Nothobranchius furzeri: one gene and its partners. The protein of the gene in region 3 interacts with the protein of the main gene of each other region in a pairwise test. Links are inferred from orthologs where the notes say so. Each region holds a gene or a part of one and is shown on either strand. Other genes may lie near its edges. The genes, in order: retreg3, dtx2 and abhd16a.

Region 1 (7,682 bases), about 67 Mb from region 3:
TCGGTTTTATGTCCTCCCTGTTTGCTCTCACAGACTTCAGCATAAACAAAAAAGCAGTGGCAAGCCAACCACAACAGGAAAAGTGCTTGATGTGCTACTGTAACCAGAGGTGTGCTAAAGGACAAACCAAGAGATGTAGAGGAAACGCTTGGTATTAGATCAATGCTGCGCTTTAGGTTGTGCTAAATACTGAATAAACTGAAAGGGTAACAGACGTATTATTGCTGTTTCTATTGTAGTTGAGATGCTTCTGTTCACAAATCAGAAAAACTCAACTTGAATATAAAGGTTTAAGGAACTTACAGTTGGGCAGAAAGCAGCCAACTCCTCCTCACTGTCGCTGGCTTCACCCGAGGCTGCACTGCGGATCGGCATTCGCAGGACTGGAAAGTTTAGATGAAGCAGATAAATAACTCATTATTGCCCTTAGGCCCTTATAACATGTTCCAAAACCAAACTAACAATACACACAAAGCTCTGCGGAGTTGCACTGAATTTATAGAACAACAAACAATAATAAAAAGCAGCTTTTCTCATCACATCCTATCAGATTTTGAATTATGAACAACTAAATCATCCTTTTAAGACTCTGGACTGCTGTTGCATTCAGTTTCTATATGAAATAAACCCAGAAAAAAAACAGAAGTAAAACTAATGTGACTCTAGCAATTAAACAACAAAGTGCCTCAGACAAAATGGCAACAGGAAAGTTCTTCTAGCAAAACAACATATCTGTTTAATAAAACTGAACATCTTTTTACGGCCACCGGAGGGCGCTAAAGAACCAGCCATTACAACAGAACAGCCTGCCAACTATCAGTAAATGAAAAAAAAACTTCTTGCTGAAATGTTAAAAGTGAGAAACGACGAGTTTCTGCTAAAATCTAACGGATCTGATTGGTATTATAAAATGAATAACAGGGCTAAACATGTTTCTGTGACTTACATTGGTTGTCGATGGGCTTTGACATCATGTATCCACGAACGCTGAAGTCCAGCCTCTGCAGGGCTGGCTCCAGCTTCGCACACACACCCTGGAAAACCCTGTGATAGGCACCCAGAGGGGCCAGGAGGGTGGCTAGCACTGGAGTCAAAAGGAAAAGAGCACAAATGATGCAAAAAAAGAGAAAATTATGTTTAGCAAACCAAATATGTGTTTTATACGGTGTATGTGCGTACTTGTTCATATTACACCTGTATATTGTCTATCTAGCCTCACGTTTTCATTCTGCTCTCCTTGAACAAAACCTATATGAACATAACCCCTCCTAAACGCACACTCGACACACCACATTTTCTGGTATTGCACTAGATGCTAGACTGTATTTGTCTCCTTGTTTAAAGCTAAATCTAATCTAATGTAAGCATGGACACAGGACTATTAGGCTTGGATTGGTGCCCCATGCTGAGCTCGGAGGTCTACACTGGCTGAAGGTTAGGAGATTAGTCCACTCTACGCCTGACCTCCTTAGCTTTAAGCCCGACTCCCTGCTCTCCTTCTCTCCCTTCTTGTGTGTCTCATCCCGGCTTTAATCACCACATGGAGCAGAGCCCGGTACCAAGGCCCAGCAGATCTGGTTTCAACACCCATGCATTTTTAAACACACTAGTCGGGCTGAGTTTCCCTGCCAACACAGCCTTCTGTAGTTAGGACCAGCTAAACTGCTGGGACTCACAGGCAGAGTAGGAGAGCACCAATCCAGGGACGTAGTTTCCAATCAGAGCCAAGCAGGAGAACACGCCACAGGTCATGATGCAGAACTGTCACAGAACAAGACACGTGTGGGCAAAGGTCAGAACAAACCAAGAGTGCCAACAGTAGAGTGTTTGTTCAGAGCTTAGGGAATCTTGATGGATTAATAATTTGTAGAGTCATGATGAACGGGTTAATCCAAATAAGGGTGTGAGTAATCTGTAGGTAAAATGGTTTATAGTATGCAGTGCTCACATTGCCAGGGTTTTGACGTTTGTATTCCATCATATCGGATCTGAAAACCGATGCACTGACCCAGGCCTCTGCAAGGTGGTGGCACAGCTCAGGCACGCTGAGGACACCGGGCTGTACCAGACCCCAGCTGCACAAACAGATACGATTCCTTCAGATTGCCTGTTGTGTTATACGGTGATGTCAGAGTAACGGCTGATTTTAGACGACGTTCACTGACCTCTCATTTTCTGATTCATCCAGCTTTCTGACTGTGGAGAGAGGACAACCGCTTTCAAAACCTGCCTCAAGCATTAGGACTTAATATAAACCAACAAGAGTGCAGAAAGTAACCAATAGCACGTGTTAGTTTGATTATTGTTAATGTAGAAAGTCTGAGTTTTATCAAATCTATTCGTGAAATAGTGTTTCTCAAAGTTGTGGGAGGAAATATATAATCTTAAAAAGGAAGAGCCCCTATTGAAATAAAGTGCAGCACCTCTGATCTCTGGCCAGATCCTATTCCTCCAGGTATCAACAACTACAAGCACAGCGAGGCCAGACGCCAGCAGGAACAGCAGGCGCAGTGACGTTAGGGCAAAAAACCTAGAGGGAAATAAAACATACAAACAGATATTTCATCTCTGGACTGTTCCCTTTGGATTCAACAAAGAATTATGGACACAACTCTACAGAATACACCAAACAGCAAAAAAAAAAAAAAAAAAAAAAAAAAACCTTCTGTTCTAGAATAAAGAAAGAGGTTTTCACCCAGTCAGATATTTTACATCTTCTCCTGACGGGAAAGGTGACAGTTCAGATCAGCTTTGATCGATAAGGATCTTTTCTAATCTGATGAAAATGCTACAGTTGATACGTGTAATCTGTATTAAGAAGCGCTGTCAGAAGTCCCATTATTTTGCCACTGCTCCTGTTTGAGATCACAAGACTTTAGAAATGTCTGGACCACAATAACGCTGCAGAATTCTGCCAATCTTGGGAGATTATCCTCACCAAGAGGACATCAGCAGGTCACAAGGTATTAGCATTTAGGTTAGTGGTGGTAACAGTAACAAATGTAAACAAAATGTGCAAATTCTCTTGTTGAGCCCTAGCTTAAGATCTGAAGCAACGCAACTCTTAATCTACTAAAAAAAAACAATCCCACAGCAAAAATGGGAAAACAAGATTATCTGTGGTGACTAATTGGTTAGAGTTAGGCTATTAGGGTTATTGTGGATAAACCATGACCCAACATTATGTTTCTGCAGGAACAGTTAAATTCGATGATTCGATAATTAGGACCACCACGTTATCTACCACCAGTGCAGAATTAACTCGACAGGTGAAGCTCTTGGATCGTGTAAAAGCACCAGCTGATTGCTGGCATGATCTCCAGTCAAACTCAGTACTGACAGATTTGCAAGAAAACAAGAAAACCCACCAGAACACTACGTTGATAACAATGTAGAGCAGAATGCTATGAAGAGGTCTTTCCCACACCAGGACGGACTGTAGATAGGTGAGATGGGGCTCGTTTGGGCCCAGCTTGGAAAGAAGAATGGCTCTGACAGCCCGAACCCGACCATCTCTCTCACTGGAGCTTGACCGAGTTCGCAGACAGACCCCGGACCCCTGCTTGGCAGATCCATCCTCCATGGATCCCGCTTCTGTTGCTCCAGTGTGCGCCATCTTAGCGTCAACTGTTCATGGAATCAACCTGTAAAGTAACGATAAAAGCGAAGAGGAAACAGGTAAACAGATTAAGAGGGTTACCACAGCGGTCACAACACCTTTGCTAACGGATGGACTAACAGCGAGACACGCCAGCTGAAATACTGTCTCACTGTCCACAACTATACGTCTTGATACATTAAAAATAAGCATGTTAACTAAAGCTATAGTTAGAACATTTAAGAACAAGCTGACACTTACTATACTGTCATTTTTAACCAGAAATGTAGCGCTCCGTACTCTTCAAAACCTGTAAATATGGCGTATCCTGTTTTTCCGACTGCTGAACGGTCCAATCGGAATTGGCCTAACCTGCTGCGTCATGGTGCGTTTAAGGACACCACGGCTTGTTTTTGTGCCTTTCATAAAAACAGCAGTTGTTATTCCAGAAAATGATTTTTCAATTAAACTACATATGTAAACTCATTCCATTTCAACACTTTATTCAAATAAAAGCGAAATCTGTTTCTGAAATATATAATGTTCTGCGTTTTGGATTGGCAAAGTTGTTTAGTTTGAAAACACTGTGGCCCACTATCTTCTTCCAGCACAACAGATGGCAGCAACCAAATTAACTTGCAGAGGCAAATTAGAAGCGTCAGTTCAGTGGGTCTGCTCCATTTATATTGGCAGACTTCACAGCGACACTCCTTCGATGAGTATTCGTGGTTGTTTATACGGCTCATGCTTCGGTAATACGTAAAGGAGTGGACATAGTAACAAGCGGGAAGGAGCGGGCTAGGAGTGGTTTAGCGGTGGGAACTATACATTTAGCCGTGTATTTAGCTAGTAAACAGGCTAGCTAAATAGGGAGCAAATAAAGAGCGATCATGCCGCGGGAAATTATAACTCTTCAGCTGGGACAATGTGGAAATCAAAGTAAGTTACGGTTAAATGTTTCCAACCTTCTACTCAAACGGAAGCGATTCTGTTAAAACAGGCTAGCAAACATCCAGTGTTATTGTAACCTAGCATAATAATGGCGAATTCTTATTGATGGTAACGAGTTAACGTTAGCTAGCAGTGTCAGTCAGTCAGCAAATGTCTCTGTGTTTGTGTGTTTCCCGTTGTCTTTTAACTCAGCATGTTCACGTTTCCACCTCTGTTTTGCAGTTGGATTCGAGTTTTGGAAGCAGCTGTGTGCAGAACATGGCATCAGCCCGGAGGGCATTGTGGAGGAGTTCGCCACTGAAGGGACTGATAGAAAAGACGTGTTTTTTTATCAGGTAGTTGGAGCATACATTTTTATATTTTATCATCTGTTGATGTGAAATTATAGAATTAGTTAACCCCCTGACGAATGTCAACACGAGGATACGCTTCCTTAAAACGTTTAAACCAAGACAACTTCTTACAAAGTCCTCTCAGCCAAGAAGACACATTGTACATGGTGGTTTCTAATAGGGCTGCAAGATGTTTGGAAAACCAGCGATAATGCTGATTAATATTGCAATTGCAACATGACTTGTAATAAATATCTACTTAACTCAAGAACAAAAAAAATTAAAAATGACTAGATAGATATCATAAAATTGGGAAAAGCAAAAATTGTGATCAAAAGATGTGAGGAAAGGGAAAAGAGTGAACAAGAAAAGGCAATCATGGGAAAAGCAGAATTGGCAGAAAGAGTAGAAGGAAGCTAATTCAGGTTATTCACCATTCAACTGCTTCTCCCCCACCACCAACTCCCCTCAGCACCACACTCCCCCCCTCTTTTGCATCTGACCAGGTGAGGAGAGAACTGAGGCAACTTAAGAACAGAAAAGCAGCAGATCCTGACGGGATCAGCCTGCTCAAAGACTGTGCTGACCAGCTTTGTGAAGTGGTCACACACATGCTCAACCTGAGCCTTCAGTTGGAGCAGGTCTCCATCCTGTGGAAGAATTCCTGTGTGGTTCCAGTTCCCAAAACATCACATCCTCGAACTAGACTATTACAGACCAGTCTCCTTGACCTCCCATTTATGAAGACTAGAGAGACTCATCCTCACCCATCTACGTTCAGTGGAGAGCCTGGAAATAGAGCCACTGCATTTAGCATATAAACCAAACATTGAGGTGGAGGACGCACTCATCTACCTGCAGCATCAGGCTTTGACTCACCTTGAGATGCAAAAATGCACTGAGAGAATCATGTTCTTTGACTACTTAATTGCCTTCAAAACCATCCAACCACGTCTACTGCAGCAGAAGATGAGGGGTACAGGAGTGGACGAACATCTGATTGTATGGACATCAACTACGTCACCAACAGACCACAGTACGTGAGGCTGCACAACTGTACATCTGAGGTGGTTGTGTGCAGTACTGGAGCTCCACAGGGTACAGTGCTCTCTCCCTTTCTATTCACCTACTACACCTCGGACTTCACCTACAACCCCAGCAGCTGTCACCTCCAGAGGTTCTCTGATGACTCGGCCATTGTCAGCTGTGTGTCTGAGGGGAATCAGGAGTACAGGTCAGTCATCATGGACTTTGTTGACCGATGTGAACATAATCACCTTTGCTTGAACACCAGTAAGACAAAGGAAATGGTGGTTGACTTCCAGAGAAACACTCCTCCTCGCTCACCAGTAAAGTTCCAGGCAGCAGACATTCACCTCAACAGCAAACTGAACTGGTCCAACAACACAGATGCTCCTTATAAGAATGGCCAAAGCTGCCTCCGCCTCCTGAGGAGGCTGAGGTCCTTCAGAATTAATCCCCAGCTGCTAAAATCCTTCTATCACTCTGTGGTTGGATCTGTTAAACACTCTGCTGTGGTCTGTTGGGGTGCAGGCAGCTCTGACCGAGACAGGAAGAGACTGAGCAAGCTAGTTTACAAAGCTAGCTCAGTTCTGAGCTGCCCACTGGATTCAGTTGAGGAGATGTGTGAAAGGAGGATGCTGGGGAAGATGACCACCATCTTAAAAAAAAAACTCCCACCCACTGCATTCCACTGTGGAGACCATGGTCAGCTCCTTCAGAGGCAGATTGAGACATCCCAGATGTAAAACAGAACGCTACCGTAGGTCATTCATCCCCTCTGCAGTGAGAGTGGATAACTCCTCAGTCTAAGCTGTACTGGCATTATCCTGTTACACAATAACACCAATGCAATACTCAGTATGTGTTCAATACTTGTGCAATTTTACATAGTTTATTACATAGATATACATAGTACGTCTGTGTCCCTTACAGTATGCTGCAAAGTTCTGGAACCCACGTTTTTTTTTTTTGTTTTTTTATTTGGGGTTTTCAAGTCAAACTTTATTTATAAGGCACATTTCATACAGTTGATGCAGCTCAGAGTGCCTTACAGATTAAAATGACCCTTTTGTGCAGCCCTAGTTTCTCATATATGAACGGATCATCTTATAGTTAGAAAACGTGAACATTTACTTTATAAATAGCAGTTTATGAAGTAAAAAAAAAAGAAAGAACTCATTGTATATCCAATATATCTCATTCTGCTACGAAGTTTGTGGCTCCTAATTTCCTTTTTTGTCTTTGTTCCGTGGCACAGAAATGGATTTGAGAGGAAAGTCTTTGTTTGTTTTTGATATCGGATGCAGCTGAAGGGGGCATAAAAAAGGGAAAATCTTAAATATCTTTCCACACATATTTTTATTCATCTAAGTAAATATTTTTCTGTAACAAAACATTGGTCACAGTGAGGCTGTGTCAACCATTAATCCCTCCAGTTTAAAATGACTGATCAGAGTGTGGATTATGTTCTTTTTCCTCTTCTGTTGCTTCATCACGGCTTGCACACACTTCACATCAGCTTAGAGAAATCCAAGAATGAAATTTAGAAATAAAGCAAGGAAAGTGTGATTCTATATAGTGATTGTTGCGAGGTGCACCACTGTTATTTGCCACCAGATGGCGTCTTTGTAACCTGGGACAACCAAGCAGCTGTTCTTGCGTGCATGGATGGATTGAGAACTATCACCGTCTAATTCCTGGTTTAAATCAACTCCACAGGCTGATGACGAGCACTACATCCCTCGTGCTGTTCTTCTGGATCTTGAGCCCCGTGTCAT
Region 2 (7,801 bases), on a different chromosome or scaffold from region 3:
GCCTAAAACTGTCAGCGTTGTGCCGTTGTCAGGTAAAAACTCTGCACTGCATTTAAATTTAAATCTGCCATCGCTATTGGCTAAGAGGTACACTATGACATTAGCTGGTACATTATGATGTCACAATGTCGTTGTGAGCCTGTGTGTGTGTATTTGTTAGCGGCTCCGCCCTCTCGGTCTGCTAGACAACAGCATTTGTTGCATTATTTAAACAGGAAGTGGGAGTGGAGTAAAACTCTGGTAGGGGTGGGGGGTGACTTGCTCTTTAAGTTATTTTCCCACACATATTATGATCTTCAAAACAAATTTCATGGATATTTGAGACTAAATGTTTATCAAATGAGAATAAAACTATAGAAATGATGAAAATCAGAAGCTAAGTATTTGTTGTGCATAAAGAGTCTTAAATAAGAACACGTCTGAGTGGGGTTGACCCGTTCTGACCCATGCCTGCTCCTAAACACACGGATGAAGAACACCAACTACCAGGGAGGAAACACAGTGACCCGTTTACCTGCCAGGGCAGAACTCACGCTGGTCGACCCATTCAACTGCACGGAGATGGAAGGAACGCTGCAGGTCAGGAAACACAGATGGTGACATTCAGTCAGTGAAAACAGCAACAATCAAACAGGCAGGAAGCAAAGAACAAAGGCTGGAAACTGGCTCGGACTTCTGCTCGCGTCACGCGGACAGAAACACGGCTCGTCTGGTTTGATGGGAGGATGGAGAAGGTGTCTTCAGACCGGTTCTAAGACTAGTTATTCATGTCTGGGGGATCAACTGCACCCCGGCTTCAACCGGATGTGCAGCGGCCGATCAGCTGATGGAGAAAAACGAGTTTTAGGGGAAAAGCAAGCAGTTGCTGTCGGTGATCGAAACCCGTCAAACTCAGAATAACAAATCTATCGCTGCTATTTTCTTCCTAAATGAGCGTGAGGATCGACTCCCAGAGCCGTTAACTAATGAAACCACGAAATTAGGAGTTATAGGAAAAAAAACTCACTGTGTGGCTGTTCTACCCACTCTGACCGGTGAGAAAGTCACCTATTTAGAGAGCAAGTCACCCCCAAATCAACTGTTTTTTCTGATAAACTATATAAATGTGTGTCTAATCGTGCTGCAGACACGTGTGGTTAACAGTTTAGCACTTTAGTGCATTTTAGTTAAAATTTGAATATTCTGCCTAAAACTGTCAGCGTCGTGCCGTTGTCAGGTAAAAACTCTGCACTGCATTTGAATTTAAATCTGCCTTCGCTATTGGCTAAGAGGTACCCTATGACATTAGCTGGTACATTATGATGTCACAATGTTGTTGTGAGCCTGTGTATGTGTGTGTTTGTTAGCAGCTCTTGGGTCTGCTAGGCAACAGCATTTGTTGCATTTTTCAAACAGGAAGTGGGAGTTGAGTAATTCTCTGGTAGGGGGTGACTTGCTCTTTAAGATGCTGTATAAAGCATACACACCCTTCTAGATTATTTTTTATTTGCCACACTTACATGTTTCAGATTAAAGCTGGGCAATAAATAAAACATTTGTTGTTATCAAAATGTCTGACTGATCGATCATTTTTCCCATGTCAATAAATGTGATGAAAAACATTTTTTAAAGACGTGTGGACGTTGGCAACGTTCATGTCCCTTTAAGACGCTGCACCAGCTCGAGTCTCATAAAAATGTGGCTCAACCTAATACACGTGACAGCCCCGCCTAGTGGACAACTTTTGTTTCTGCACATACCCGTAGTTATTATCCATTCATCGTTATCGAGGTGAAATCCTCAATATATGGTGATATTGCTTTTAGGCCGCATCGCCCCCGCTCTACTTCAGATTCAGTACTGGACAAAGAAAACCTGAGATGATGATTGGCACAGCTTTCATCTACGCTAGACGCATCGGCAGATTTAAAGCCAGGCGCATTCCCGGGCAGCGCCGTGCTGCTGCTGCAGAGTTCAGACATTTTGAGCATCAGCTGATGTTATTGACATTTTAGCATGAAAATAAGGTGGAAAACGTCCAGATTGTTCAGAAAAAACAACCCTGACCCTCACCTTCACCACCCAGTTACCCAAAAATTTATATTTAGCATAATTTTTATTTATGAAATTACTCTGTGCAGCATAATTTTAATCTGTTTCAACTAAGGTTAGGGAACTCAAATGTTGAAGTGAATTTTTTCATCCAGCAGACCTGGTGGGATCAGGACTCAGATGGGTCCAAAAGCAACTACTTTCTCACATTTTTTGCAAGATTTGACAATTTTTCTCCTTCATAAATGAAATAATTATTTAAAAACAGCATTTTTTTTATCTACTCTGGTTATGTTGGTGTTATGCTGATTTGTTTACTGATCAGAAATATTTTAAAAACAGAAAGTCGGCAAATCCGGCGTGACGAAGCTTTTTGGGTTTTACAAAACTATTACTTCACAGATCATCAAAAAGTTAATGCAAGAATAAGCAGACATCTACTATAATTAGTACAAAAACGCGTCGTGCAAGGGTGGAACATTAAACATGAATAACATTCAAAAATGTAGAAAATTAGAATTAACTCAGGATTATTAACATTAGGGATGCAAGAAAATATCGATATGGCAATATATCGTGATATTTTTTTCCAGCAATATTATATCGATATTCAAAAGCCGTGTATCGGAAATATCGATATGACAATATATCGTGATTTTTTCCCCTGTAAATATTACATTGAAATTCAAAAGCCGTGTATCTAATTCTTGAAAGAATTTACATGCAAACATTTGTGTATTTTCTTTTCGTTTTGTGCAATTCAATCGCCACCCGCTAGTTGGCAGCAGTGTGCAACGGGTTTTGTTTCCACCATTGAAATGTAAATCCCTCCATCATGGTTCAGATACCTCATGTTAAACATGTTATATATCAGTTTGGACTGTTTATTGAACATTCTTACAATAAATTCTGTAAAAAAAAAAATTGCTTGTAACGTCTGACTGAATGTATCGCAATATATCGTGATATATCGTATCGTCTCCCCTGTATGGTGATCGTATCGTATCGCCAGAATTTCAAAAATACACATCCCTGATTAATATGCAGTGTGGAGGAAACTGAGACCCCAGGACTGAGAGTGAGCTACATATCCATTGCACCGCTTAAGCTAGTCGTTTGACTTTGGGAGCTGCTCTCTGTGCCATTAGGAATGAGAAGAAGGAAGATCAGATGACAAAGATGGAAATGAGGGGAAGTGAGCCAAAACAAACACACCACTGATGTGTTAGAGCTCCGGACCTCCTGTTTGACAGGATGGGTCAGTGAGGAGACAGACAGGAAGGACAGAGAGGGCGGGGGGGCTGGAGGACATCCTTCAGTCCCCCGCTGTGGTTTAATGTGTCACACTCACCTTAAACCATTAACGCTGGTGGAGCTGCCCAGGTGTGGCGCAGGTATGTGACTAGCAGAGGCAAGTGGGGGCCAGGGGCTGCCCCAGGACATCCCCCCCACAGAGAGGGGTCTCCTGGGATACGGCGAGTAAACAGAAGTCGGGTGAGCGGCAGCGACCCACCCCATCCCCTGGAGGCTGGGTCGGTTCAGACTCCCCGAGGAAAAGGAATGGCGTGAGCGGCTGGGAATGGGTCCGGTGCTGCTGTGGCTCAAACACTGCTGGCAGGAGCAGGCAGGGGCTGAGGGGATGGCAGGGGGGCCGGAGGAGGCCAACGGGTAGGGGAGGTTGCACTGTCGCCGCACCTGGCGCCTGAAGCCTGTGGATTTGTTCACCTGGGCCAGAGAGGTGAGATCCACTATGTAATTGTACCCATGCGGGCCCAGGTCGGCCGTGCCCTGGCGGGCCTGGTAGCTGTGCTCTAGAAGGATGGAGGTCCGGGTCTCGTACGGAGTCCAACCTCCTTCATCGTTGACCCATTCCCAGTAGACACCGCTGCCGAGGCCTGAAGACTGGGCGAACAGGGAGCGCCGCACTGACCGGGTCGTCCCTGGAAAGTAAACAACAAACCCTTTAGTGTGTATTTGTGAGTAAAGCATCTTAAACCAACATTACCTGGTCAAGACCCAAGACTGGCACCTTCATCAACAGTAACTGTTCTTTTCATGTATTTCCCACATTATTCACCCATTTTATACTTCAACGTTTGTACTCGAAGATGACTTTACATCTATTTTCATATTTTTAATGTTTTTAAGCCCCTTTCTTGTGTGGTTTTTGTATAAAACACACGTTTCAAAGCCATGTCAGGTAAAAGTCCTGAGTTATTCAACATCCTCCCACATGACGCTCTAACAGCTCAGTCATTTAACTAAGTATTTGCACGGTTTAATCATTCAAACCAACATGATTAAGCTGTCCAGCTCTAGGACGAGTAATGAGAACGATCCTGATGTTTTCACTGAGAATGAAGCCCAGAAACATGACTCGTATTTCCTCCAGCTGATGTAAAGCGAAACCAGCTAGGCCGGTCACTGTGACGATACGAGGAAACGCGTTTATTATTGCGGTTATTAAAGGAAGAGGTCGTGCTCACCTGTGTCCTGCCGGAACTGCTTCAGGCTCGGTATGTCAATGAGGTAGGGCGACAGACTGGGGTCTGACTGTCCGAGGCAGATGCTCGTCGAGCCGGCTCCTCCGCCTCCTCTGGGCCCGCGCCGGGACACACAACGCTCGATGTAGGCGCTGACTTGGCCGCTGTAAGGCCGCCAATAGCCCTGGTCGTCCTGCCATTCCCACACCGCTATCATGGGCTGGGATGGTCCAACGGAACCGGACGGCAAAACCGGCAGCGAGGGCCCGTTTCTGGAGCCGTTCACCCGGGCGCAGGAACCAGACACAATCGCCATGTTATTCGCTAACAACACAACTGGTTAGCTGATTGTGGCTACGACGAAGACGCAGCGACTAGCTAGCTAGGCTCGTTAAAAACTCCATTCCGAAAGTGTGCACGCGCCTACAAGGAAGTTCCGAGGCGAGGCTCGAACCCAACACGACCGAGACAAACATTCGGGTTCATGTTGACAAAGCTGTTGCGTTCAGAAAGACCAAAGGCGGCCGAGTGGTGACAACATCACCATGGAGCCTTCCAGTCTGGACCGCTGCCTTCAAGGCCCGTCGGGAATAGCAGTACTCAGCAGACGTGCCTCGGAAACGCTGGTCTATGGGAAACAGCTTCCTCATTCACCCGATCTCCTTTTACACATTAATTCATTTATTCCAGCAGATTGTGATTTTTCTGCACCAGCTGGATGAAAATTTCGTGAAAATTAATTTCGTTAAAGATTAATAACTTTATTTTAACCTTTAAAGCAAACTCAAGCAAAACATTTAAAGCAAACTAGTAAACTTGTGCATCTTTGAAAATCCAGCCCAAGTTAGATCAAATATATATTTTAATGTTAGCATTTTTGCTTTACTATTTAATTAATTGACGCTTTATTCATACTAGTAAACTTTGAATGATTTGTAAAAACAGAGGCATTTGAATGCAACACAGAAGTTGAAACAAAAGCAAAACAAGCGCCCCCTAGTGACTGGATCCAATACGTTTTTAAAGGGAGATTGGGCAGTTTAGGCTTGCTTTTAGCACCCCCTAGTGTCCGTTTGTAGAAAGAAAGCAAAACCAATCTGTGCGTTTGTCTTTTCAACACCTCAAGCCTAATTTATACTTCAGCTCTGCGATGGAGAGACATACTCGCATTGACAGAGACATTTTGCTTTCAAATTTCTCCATCAGCTAGGGAGTGTTGCAAAACAATTTCCCGCCAAGATAACCGAGAGCGTAGTGCTATTCTGAGGGATCCTGCTACCATTACAGTCACGTAGCCGGTCCACGATGGTATTGTGTTTACATTGTTTTAATGTATTCCAGAGACTTTTTGACACGGACAGATTTGTCCCTCATTGATCTTCACCTCTTTATGCGATCAGTACCTCTAAACCCACGTTTATCATCTTTTCTGTCCACGAATAAAACGCTTGCTGCATATCTTTGCTCTCCTTCAGTCACAGGTGAATAAAAGTTCATATTTTCAGACTTTCTTCGATGCGTTTTTCAACCTGTTCTGTTTTTGCCGCTATCTTTTGACCTTTTGAAGAGGCAAAGACGGTGCTGTTGACCAATAAAAACAAGAAGCAGCCTCCTGACCAATCACAAGCTTGCGCTCTCCGTCTCTTTCAATGGACAGTTAAAATTTGGGGCGTGTCTCCATCAGCCTCTGCAAGCCTGTCAAAGCGCTCCTGCATCGACTCATAGTGGCGTGTCTATCCTGGCTGACACAGACAAAAAAGTATGAATTGCTTAAATCTAACAGCTGAAACGTATCCCCTTCATTACTGTCTACATGGCTTATTAATCACTAAATTAAATTAAACAAATCAGCTGTGTTCATGATCTAAAACATGCAGGAAACGTGCTGGAGCCAGACTGCAGCACCATATAAGCAGACCTGATCAGCAACTGCGAAGCTGCAAGTGGAATATTCTGTCTCCAGAGTGTGAAAAGGGCTGGGTGGCATTTCATTAACCCTGTAAATGGTTTTTCTAGCACACACTGGCTCAAGAAAATGATTTAAAAATATGAAAAGTTGCAAAGTGTCTCCATAAAAAGAAAAAAACCTCAGAGTTGTTGCTGTTTGAATGCTGTTTCCTTAGTTACCAAGGTGCCTTTGAAGTTAGGCTCCGCCCACTTGGTTGCTATGGCTACCATACCTATGACGTTGGTCTCATCCAATTAAGAATTTAACGTTGAATATCTTTAAAAACATTTTAAAATGTCCAACAAAAATCCTAGCCTGCTTTCCCTAAACGAGCTAAACACCGTGTGACCCCATTTGCGTTAATTGCTGAAAAACTGTAAGAGATGTATACGATGAAAAACGTACAGAAGGATCCTAAAATCATAATAAAAATAATGATATTCATAATAATACTAACATGTCGGATTAAATAAAGTTGAATCAGATTAAATAAAACCTTCAACATCTGCAAGCTAATGGAGGAAGAAACATGATTTAGTAAAAACAAAATAATAACCCTAAATATTCATATATATATATATATATATATATATATATATATATATATATATGTATGTATGTATGTATATATATGTATGTGTATATATATATATATATATATATATATATATATATATATATATGTATATGTATGTATGTATGTATGTATATGTATGTATACGGTATATAATATACCAATATACTTTTATCTGTTTCTAATAGTTTTATCTCTTTAAAAGGATTAGTTCTTTCCTTAAAAACAAGCTGCAATTAAATCTAGAGATGTATTGTGCTCTCTGGTGGAGGATCTCGATACTGCAGGTTGTATTTTTATTTGTTTTTATGACATAATCGCATAAATAAATGTGAAATTATGTTGTAATGACATGATGCAATCAATTATTCCGTTTTTAAATATACAATTCTCCATCCATCCATCTATCCATCCATTGTCTGAACCCGCTTTGTGCCTATCTCCAGCGGTCAATGGGCAATCAGGCGGGGTACACCCTGGACAGAGAGCCAGTCCATCGCAGATATACATTTCTCATAAATAATTAATTTATTTAAGTCCATACATTAGTAACTTTAGATCCAACCCAGCAAGAGACAAATGAACAAAAACCTGAATTTAAAATCCGTCTTGGAGAAAAATATCAAAGTGGGACACTACGTCCCAAACCTCAACTCAGGAAAACAAACACATGAGACATAAAATGAGCAAGCTGGGAGAAAATTAGACCTAAAATGTGTAAATACACAAAATAGCCTCATTTTGTCTACAAGTATCTCCTCAAAC
Region 3 (7,078 bases):
GTGTTTTATTGATTTTTAGCTGTTAGTTTTGGGAATTTTGTTGTATTTCCTTTTTATCTTTTATCCGTGTTCGACATGATTGTATAACGCCGGTTTAATTAACTTACATTTTTAGTGTACAGCGCCTTGTTTGGTTGTAATGCCTTGTGAATGCGCTTTATAAATAAAATTGGATTGGACCCCCCTCCCCCCCCCAAGGCACTTTACAACAGTCATTCACAGCTGCCCTGTGTACGGCAGCAGAGGCGAGTCTGCTGTACACAGGCACCACCGCTCCCTCCGACCACCACCAGCAGGCACGGTGGGTAAGTGTCTTGCCCAAGGACATAGCGACAGACTGAGCGGAGCTCAAACCTGCAACCTCCCAATTACAGGGCGAGCACCTAACTTCTGTGCCACCGTCGCCCCATTATGACTTACTGCTGATGAAAGTCTCACAAGGGCTCCTGGGCCTTTAGATGGTCTCTCAGTTGAATTACTGACATAATGGACTTTTTCACCGTATTTAAATTTTTTGACTTTCACCGTTAAATACTGCAATGCTATGTGTCATGATGTTGAATCAACGTTTAAAAGTGGTTTATCAGTTTTTACAGTATTCCTGTTGCGTGGTGCAATTCAAACTCCGACTGCTAGGTGGCAGCAGTTTTTACCGCCTTCATTGTGACGGAAAAACAAGATCTTGCGATAACACTGGATGTGTCTTGAAAGCGTCTGGCCTGAGTTTTCCAATTAATTCAGTCTTAACTCATTCACTTTTTTGCATTTTTTTTACTGTGTGAGCGTCGGACAAGCCCCCACGCCGTCCGTGAGAACAAACATCTCAGCTTTAAAGCCGATCTTCATCCGCGTACGTCACACGTCACGTGATCAGGAAGCAGAACATCCATGTGTTAGGAGATCGTTTTGGGCCGCTGCTGTAAAAAAAAGTGAAGCGCGAACCGGAAAAGCTTCTGCCGATCACAATTCAACAACGGATTATGAAAGAAGGGATAAGGCTCGAAACGCGCGGATTCTTCCTGATGTAAGAGGTGAGTCTCCGCTTTGTTTTGGTCATTTTGGCGTCAACATCATCCTAGCGCGCAGCGTTCTGTGACTCTTAAAAAAACTGTAAAAACGGTGAGAAACGCTGGCAGCGAATGAGTTAAAAACGACAAATATCGACTTTTAGTATCGCGATATACATCCGATCACCAAAATCTTGCCAATACACACTCATATTTTAAATAAAATATTATTATATATTTAGAATATTGGTAAATATTAGTTATCAGCCACAACAATATTAATATTGGATATCGATATCGGCCCATATTTCCATACAAGTGCATCCCTAAATGTTGGTGTTTTAAACTACATTAAAGAAATAATACTCAAGCACTATCAGAACTATAAAGTACAACAAGTAAGCATTTTCAGTTATTTCAAAAACCCCATTTTCCTTTCTGCAGCTAGAAGTAACCACGACTGGACAGAAGGGTGGAGGTGGATGGTCCTTGAAAACTTCCAAAGGACTTTTATTAAAAAAATGCAACAACTCAGATCTGAAAAGTCATAATTAGTGTGGAAATTTCACAAGATTTCAGAAGCTAAAATTTGTTCTTTTATCTAATTAACCCAAACAAAGTAAGCTAGGGCGCTGCCGAGCGTTTCATGTTGTGTGGTGGGGACCTACGTTGTGGTGATGATCTCATCTTTGGTCCTTCTGATCAACAGGACTGGTCCCTGGTATCTGAAACATGTAGCTTTATTAGTCATCAGTCAACATGAGCAAGAAACAGTTTCACTTTTGTTTACCAATAACTTATCAAGCTCCACCCTACACTCACTTGATGAGCTGCTCGGCGTTGTTAAGGTTCATGTACTGCCTCACCGTGTGTTGAACCAGCGGTTCTGAGAAAAAATAAACACTGAAACAATATTTTCTGCTGAAGGAGTCTGAAACCGGTAGCTCGTGGCACTCACTCCAACTTTCAGGCATAACTTTGAGAGCCAGAGGGAGGAGGTCATCAAAGGAGGCGTCCAATACTATAGCTTGGATCTCTGGGTATGACATCACCGCCCAACTGGCTAAGAAACAACAAAAAAAAAGGAGATTAGTTACCGGGACATTTTGAGATAAACTGCAAAAAAATAGTTTTTCTAAGAAAGTTAAAAAATCTTCATTTTTAGATATTTTGTGGTGTTTTCTCCAGAAAATAGCATAACCTAAAATAAGGTTAATATTCTTGAATATGATCCACATTTTCTTGTTTTAAGTTAAAAATCTGCCAACGAGGTAAGCAGCTCGGCTAGAAACCTCACAAATAGCAAAATAATCTAATTCTAGGTTTGTTTCAGGATTTCTAGCCAAGCAGCTTTTGCTTACCCCACTGGCGGATTTTTTTTTTTACTCAAAACAAGGAAATCTGGATCATACTTCAGAATATTTACCTTACTGTTTTTCTAGAGAATAATTTATTTTCTTTTTAGATAAAAAAAAAGATAAAATGTCTAAAAATGATACTTTTTAAAAACTTTCTAAAACCATCTAGAATGTTTTCAAGCTAGTTCATATGTTTGAACGTTAACGTTTGCTCTGTCTGCACCTGTGAATCCTCCTATGGACCAGGCATAGATCACAATGTCGCTCAGCTGGAAACCAAGTTTGTGAATGGCGAACTGGACGACCACATCCATGGCGTTCGCCTCGTTCTGGGGAAACGGCACTCCCTGGTGGAAACGTACAGCGAACAGAAATAAATCCCAGAACTGAAACACGTTGAACTTTGAAGCCATTAAAACATAAACAGCCTTCCTGCTGATACTAACCAGCTACGGGAGTGCATCTGGTTCTAGTGTGATACTCAAACCAGTTTCTCCACTCCTCCGCTTGTTTGAGCTAAATGATGCACAGCCTACATACAATGGAGCCTGCTGTTGCTTACCGTGCTGCCTCCAAAGCCAGGGTGGTTCCAGCCCAGAACGGAGTACCCACCTAAAGTAAACGATCAGCGTTAACTTGTTTAGCAACATTTTAGACTAAAACATTATTCTGCACTTTTAAATGTCAGTATTTCTCACCCTCCAGAGGCGTGTTCATGCAGCCCACCTCATAAAATCCGGCGTTGCCCTCACAGCAGATGACCTGTGGAAGAATTCAAGAACCATCTGTAAGGTGACGGGAGTTTTGTTGGACCCTGGAACCAGCCCTGAGCGCAAAGGCAACAAATCACTGCTGACATTTACCAGAGTCTGGCCGTTCGGGCCCCCGTCTCTCCTTCGATCCACAAACATTGTGTCGATCTCGTTCCCGTCGCAGGCCACCAGCTTGTTCCTTTGACCGTCAAACTGTGACAGAAAATGATCAAATACGACACGCAGCATCTCTGAGGAAGATTATTTCTTCTCTTACCTCCTCTATCAACTTAGCCTGGCCTTGCTGCAGCATCGGTCTCATGGCTTTCTGTAGCAACCCCACAGAACCAGGATACAACATCCTCCTCCCAAAAGAGTGAGCAATGAGGTAGCTGCAGAGGAAAACTGTTAATGATGCTGTGGTAGAACCGCTGGGAGAAATGAAATAAGAAACATACATGCTAGTATAACCGTGCACTTACCCAACGATGTGGCACGGTAAAGTGCGAACAGAGTAAAGAACGTTGTCTGCTGTTCCTCTCAGTTTGGGCTCGGGCTTCAGCAGAGAAACGCCACCTTTGGACATTTTCCTTCAGAGGTGAACGACGGACCCATTATACACACACTAAATACACCCAAACCTATTCACTACACTTCTACAACAACTGAAGTAATGCAAGCTAAATGACATGACTACAATTTAGTATAGCTGCATTGAATAAGAGGCCATTTTAAACAATAACATCAAGTGTGAATAATTAAAGTCAGACAAGCTTTCAAGTGTAATTTAAAAAGCATAAAGAGTTCATTATGTCTGGAGTTCAGGAGGTAAGGTGAAACGGGACTGAATGCTCTACCTCCAGTGGAAGTAGGGGTGGGGATAAGGAACAGTGATGTGGATGAATGAGGATGACCTGAGAGTGTGTGGGAAGTTATATCGGTGTGGATAAGGTCAGACGGGGAGGAAGGAGCCGGGTTATGGATGGCCTTAAAGCTGAGGAGCAGTAAATAAAGGGAAGCCAATGAAGTTTGTGAAAGACGGGAGTAAAATAGTGAGCCGAAGGTGTTCTGTTGTGAAACTGGTGGCAGAGATCTGAATCAGGTGAAGTCTATGTAATGACTTGAGAGGGAAACCAAAAGGAGATTTCCAATAGTTAATGTGAGGCGTGACCAGGTGTGTCAGCAGAAATGGGTGGAGAAGACGTAGATTACGCAGTAGGGCTGGGGGTAAACGCTTATTCTTAAAACGATTATTCTGATGATTATTTTATCGAATAGTCGATTATTCTAATGACTATTTAGACAATTAATCTAATGATTAAATTTCTATTGCACAGTTAATAAAAACCAAAAAATCTCAAATAAATTCCTCCAAAAAATTGATAAATTGTTACTGTAAGAGAATAAACACTACAGCCTTCCATTTTGTATAACACTGCTTTTATTGGTTATGTTCTGGTGAGGTCCTACCTCAAGTGGAGGAGTTTAAGTATCTCGGGGTCTTGTTCACGAGTGAGGGTAGGAGGGATCGGGAGATCGACAGGCGGATTGGTTCGGCGTCTGCAGTGATGCGGACGCTGAGCCGATCTGTCGTGGGGAAGAGGGAGCTGAGCCAGAAAGCCAGGCTCTCGATTTACCGGTCGATCTACGTCCCAATCCTCACCTATGGTCATGAGCTTTGGGTAATGACCGAAAGAACGAGATCGCGGATACAAGCGGCCGAAATGAGTTTCCTCCGTAGGGTGGCCGGGCTCAGCCTTAGAGATAGGGTGAGGAGCTCGGACATTCGGGAGGGACTCGGAGTAGAACCGCTGCTCCTCCGGATCGAAAGGAGCCAGTTGAGGTGGTTTGGGCATCTGGTCAGGATGCCTCCTGGACGCCTCCCCGGGGAGGTGTTTCGGGCATGTCCTGCCGGCAGAAGGCCCCCGGGTCGACCCAGGACACGTTGGAGAGGTTACATCTCCAATCTGGTCCGGGAACGCCTTGGGGTCCTGCCGGAGGAGCTGGTGGACAAGGCCGGGGAGAGGACGGCCTGGAGCTCCCTAATTGGGATGCTGCCCACGCGACCCGGACCCGGATAAGCGGAGGAAGACGAAGACGAAGACGAAGATGTTCTGGTGACGTGTAGAATGTGGGAGAGCAGGCTGCTGCCTGAGAGGTGGTTGGAGACGGACTGTCTCCATGCTGCTTTGTTTGCGTGAGGCGAGTGGTGTTACGACCCTTCCTGGGGAGTTTGGCTCGTGTGCAAAAAGGAAGGGACAATAACGGGATTTAAAAGTTAAAATGATGATCAGGTTTATTTACAACAACAAAACAAATCTTTCCATCCACAGGTTGGGAATAATGAAACAAATTCTGCCTGTGGGGGATTAAAACAAAAGTACAAATAAGTAGGGATGTCCCACTGGGCAAATATTACAGGGTTCTGGACCAAAATAAGAATATCCAAAGGTCCAAACTCTAAACTGGGTGGTTAAACCAAACTCAAGGTGATATTTTAAACTAAACCGAAAACCCACAACACTCTAAATGGAATAAAAGGGAGATCTGCACCACAAAAACGATGAACTCTAAACCAAAACGTAACAGCTTATCCAAACGCAAGAAGCTGTTAGCGAAGATGCTAACAGTAGCTGTACCAACGTTAAGTTCAAGTTACCAAGTTTAAATAAACCAAAAACACCCAGCAGCAAACAGACCAGCACAGAGGAGAGACTGCTACCACCAAGACCGCTCTCCTAATGTCTGAAAGAAGCTCCTTAATGAAGGGAGAAGCGCTCCCGGTGATTTTCTACATCTGTGGTAGAGACGAAGCAGCGCATCTGACCCCGGAAGTTGTTGTCCATTGCCGGGAGACGAAGGTGGGCAAAACAGGAAAGGAATCTAGTAGCAGACGGGCGTTGTTCTGGGTCTTCGGTATTTGGTGGAGATGGGATGTTAGTGAAGGTGGAGAAGAGGATGAACTAGAGGAAAAACAGGCAGATTCCTCCTCTATTTACAAACTCCTGGGGATGCAACAAGTGGGCGCGGTGCGTCGACTTCCAGATCTGACGTCGACAAATTTTTAGAATCGAGTCGTCAACGTCATCGAGGCTTCGCTACAGCCCTATTACGCAGGTGAAAGTAGACAAACCAGATGACCGTTCTGTTCAGCTTGTATAGAAATGAAGTAATGACACCAGGACATTTAACCCAAGGGGAGGGATCCATAGTGCAGGTTTTAACGTTGTTAGCTTTGGAAAGAGCTGATTTTGTACCAATGAGGAGAACGACTGTGTAGAGGTCTCATACAGACAGCCAGAGAGGGATGGAGGTGGAAGGTAGAGTTGGAGGTCATCAGCATAGCGGTAAGGGTGTAACAGAATACCTAAAGTACTTTGTTTTTAATGTCAAGGTTCGTTTAAGTTTCGGTGCATTAAGTGAGCAAAGTGAAGAAAAAGGTTTTCCTTTGTGAGAAGTAAAGATTTAATGACATCTAAAAAAAAACTTAACATGCATTACAATATCCAACAAAAGATTCTCAGATAACATAAAAATGTTTAGGATAAAATAAAAAATACATAACAGTTCAGTTTCACAACTATTACTTCCAGTCTTCCAGGTCAACAAAGAACCAGGTGTCTGGTACCTACACCAGTCTACATGGACCGAGTGGGACGGGTCCTTTGAAGGATGCAGCTCTGAATTTGGACACAGCCTTGTGTGTTGATGGCTTAACAGCAATGCAGTTACATATCTGTGTGAGATCCGGTACGTGTAAGTGACGCACAAAAAAATCGGAAAATGAGCACACGTACCGTTCATCGCCATATACATACGGTGCCGTTACACCCCAAGTAAAAGTTTATATGCAAATGCCAAGGGGAAACAAACACACATTGAACCGAACTGGCTCAAGTACAGAGCCCTGAGAAGCACCGGTGGTGACAGGAAATTAGTTAGATTTCTACGCTTTGATGTG

What was found.
Region 1: the proteins of abhd16a (region 3) and retreg3 interact in binary tests that used the Homo sapiens proteins (3 or more experiments, as listed by UniProt). The link is inferred for Nothobranchius furzeri from reciprocal best matches to the Homo sapiens genes ABHD16A and RETREG3.
Region 2: the proteins of abhd16a (region 3) and dtx2 interact in binary tests that used the Homo sapiens proteins (3 or more experiments, as listed by UniProt). The two-hybrid records come from large-scale screens. The link is inferred for Nothobranchius furzeri from reciprocal best matches to the Homo sapiens genes ABHD16A and DTX2.

The regions. Positions count from the first base shown.
Region 1 is NC_091745.1:7,573,813-7,581,494, reverse strand, and holds the start of retreg3 (reticulophagy regulator 3), read right to left. Parts: upstream 3,975-7,682; 5' UTR 3,860-3,974; intron 3,645-3,859; 5' UTR 3,617-3,644; coding exon 3,369-3,616; intron 2,531-3,368; coding exon 2,424-2,530; intron 2,197-2,423; coding exon 2,166-2,196; intron 2,076-2,165; coding exon 1,949-2,075; intron 1,762-1,948; coding exon 1,677-1,761; intron 1,085-1,676; coding exon 947-1,084; intron 384-946; coding exon 304-383; intron 1-303. Other genes in the region: tubg1 (tubulin gamma-1 chain), read left to right, coding at 4,489-4,537, 4,772-4,884, 7,624-7,682. UniProt on the Homo sapiens protein: Endoplasmic reticulum (ER)-anchored autophagy regulator which exists in an inactive state under basal conditions but is activated following cellular stress.
Region 2 is NC_091750.1:69,047,242-69,055,042, reverse strand, and holds the start of dtx2 (probable E3 ubiquitin-protein ligase DTX2), read right to left. Parts: upstream 5,054-7,801; 5' UTR 4,831-5,053; coding exon 4,518-4,830; intron 3,972-4,517; coding exon 3,383-3,971; intron 574-3,382; coding exon 515-573; intron 1-514. UniProt on the Homo sapiens protein: Regulator of Notch signaling, a signaling pathway involved in cell-cell communications that regulates a broad spectrum of cell-fate determinations.
Region 3 is NC_091745.1:74,542,047-74,549,124, forward strand, and holds part of abhd16a (phosphatidylserine lipase ABHD16A), read right to left. Parts: intron 3,708-7,078; coding exon 3,600-3,707; intron 3,510-3,599; coding exon 3,395-3,509; intron 3,331-3,394; coding exon 3,229-3,330; intron 3,128-3,228; coding exon 3,064-3,127; intron 2,978-3,063; coding exon 2,928-2,977; intron 2,713-2,927; coding exon 2,589-2,712; intron 2,071-2,588; coding exon 1,966-2,070; intron 1,894-1,965; coding exon 1,830-1,893; intron 1,733-1,829; coding exon 1,676-1,732; intron 1-1,675. UniProt on the Homo sapiens protein: Phosphatidylserine (PS) lipase that mediates the hydrolysis of phosphatidylserine to generate lysophosphatidylserine (LPS). LPS constitutes a class of signaling lipids that regulates immunological and neurological processes.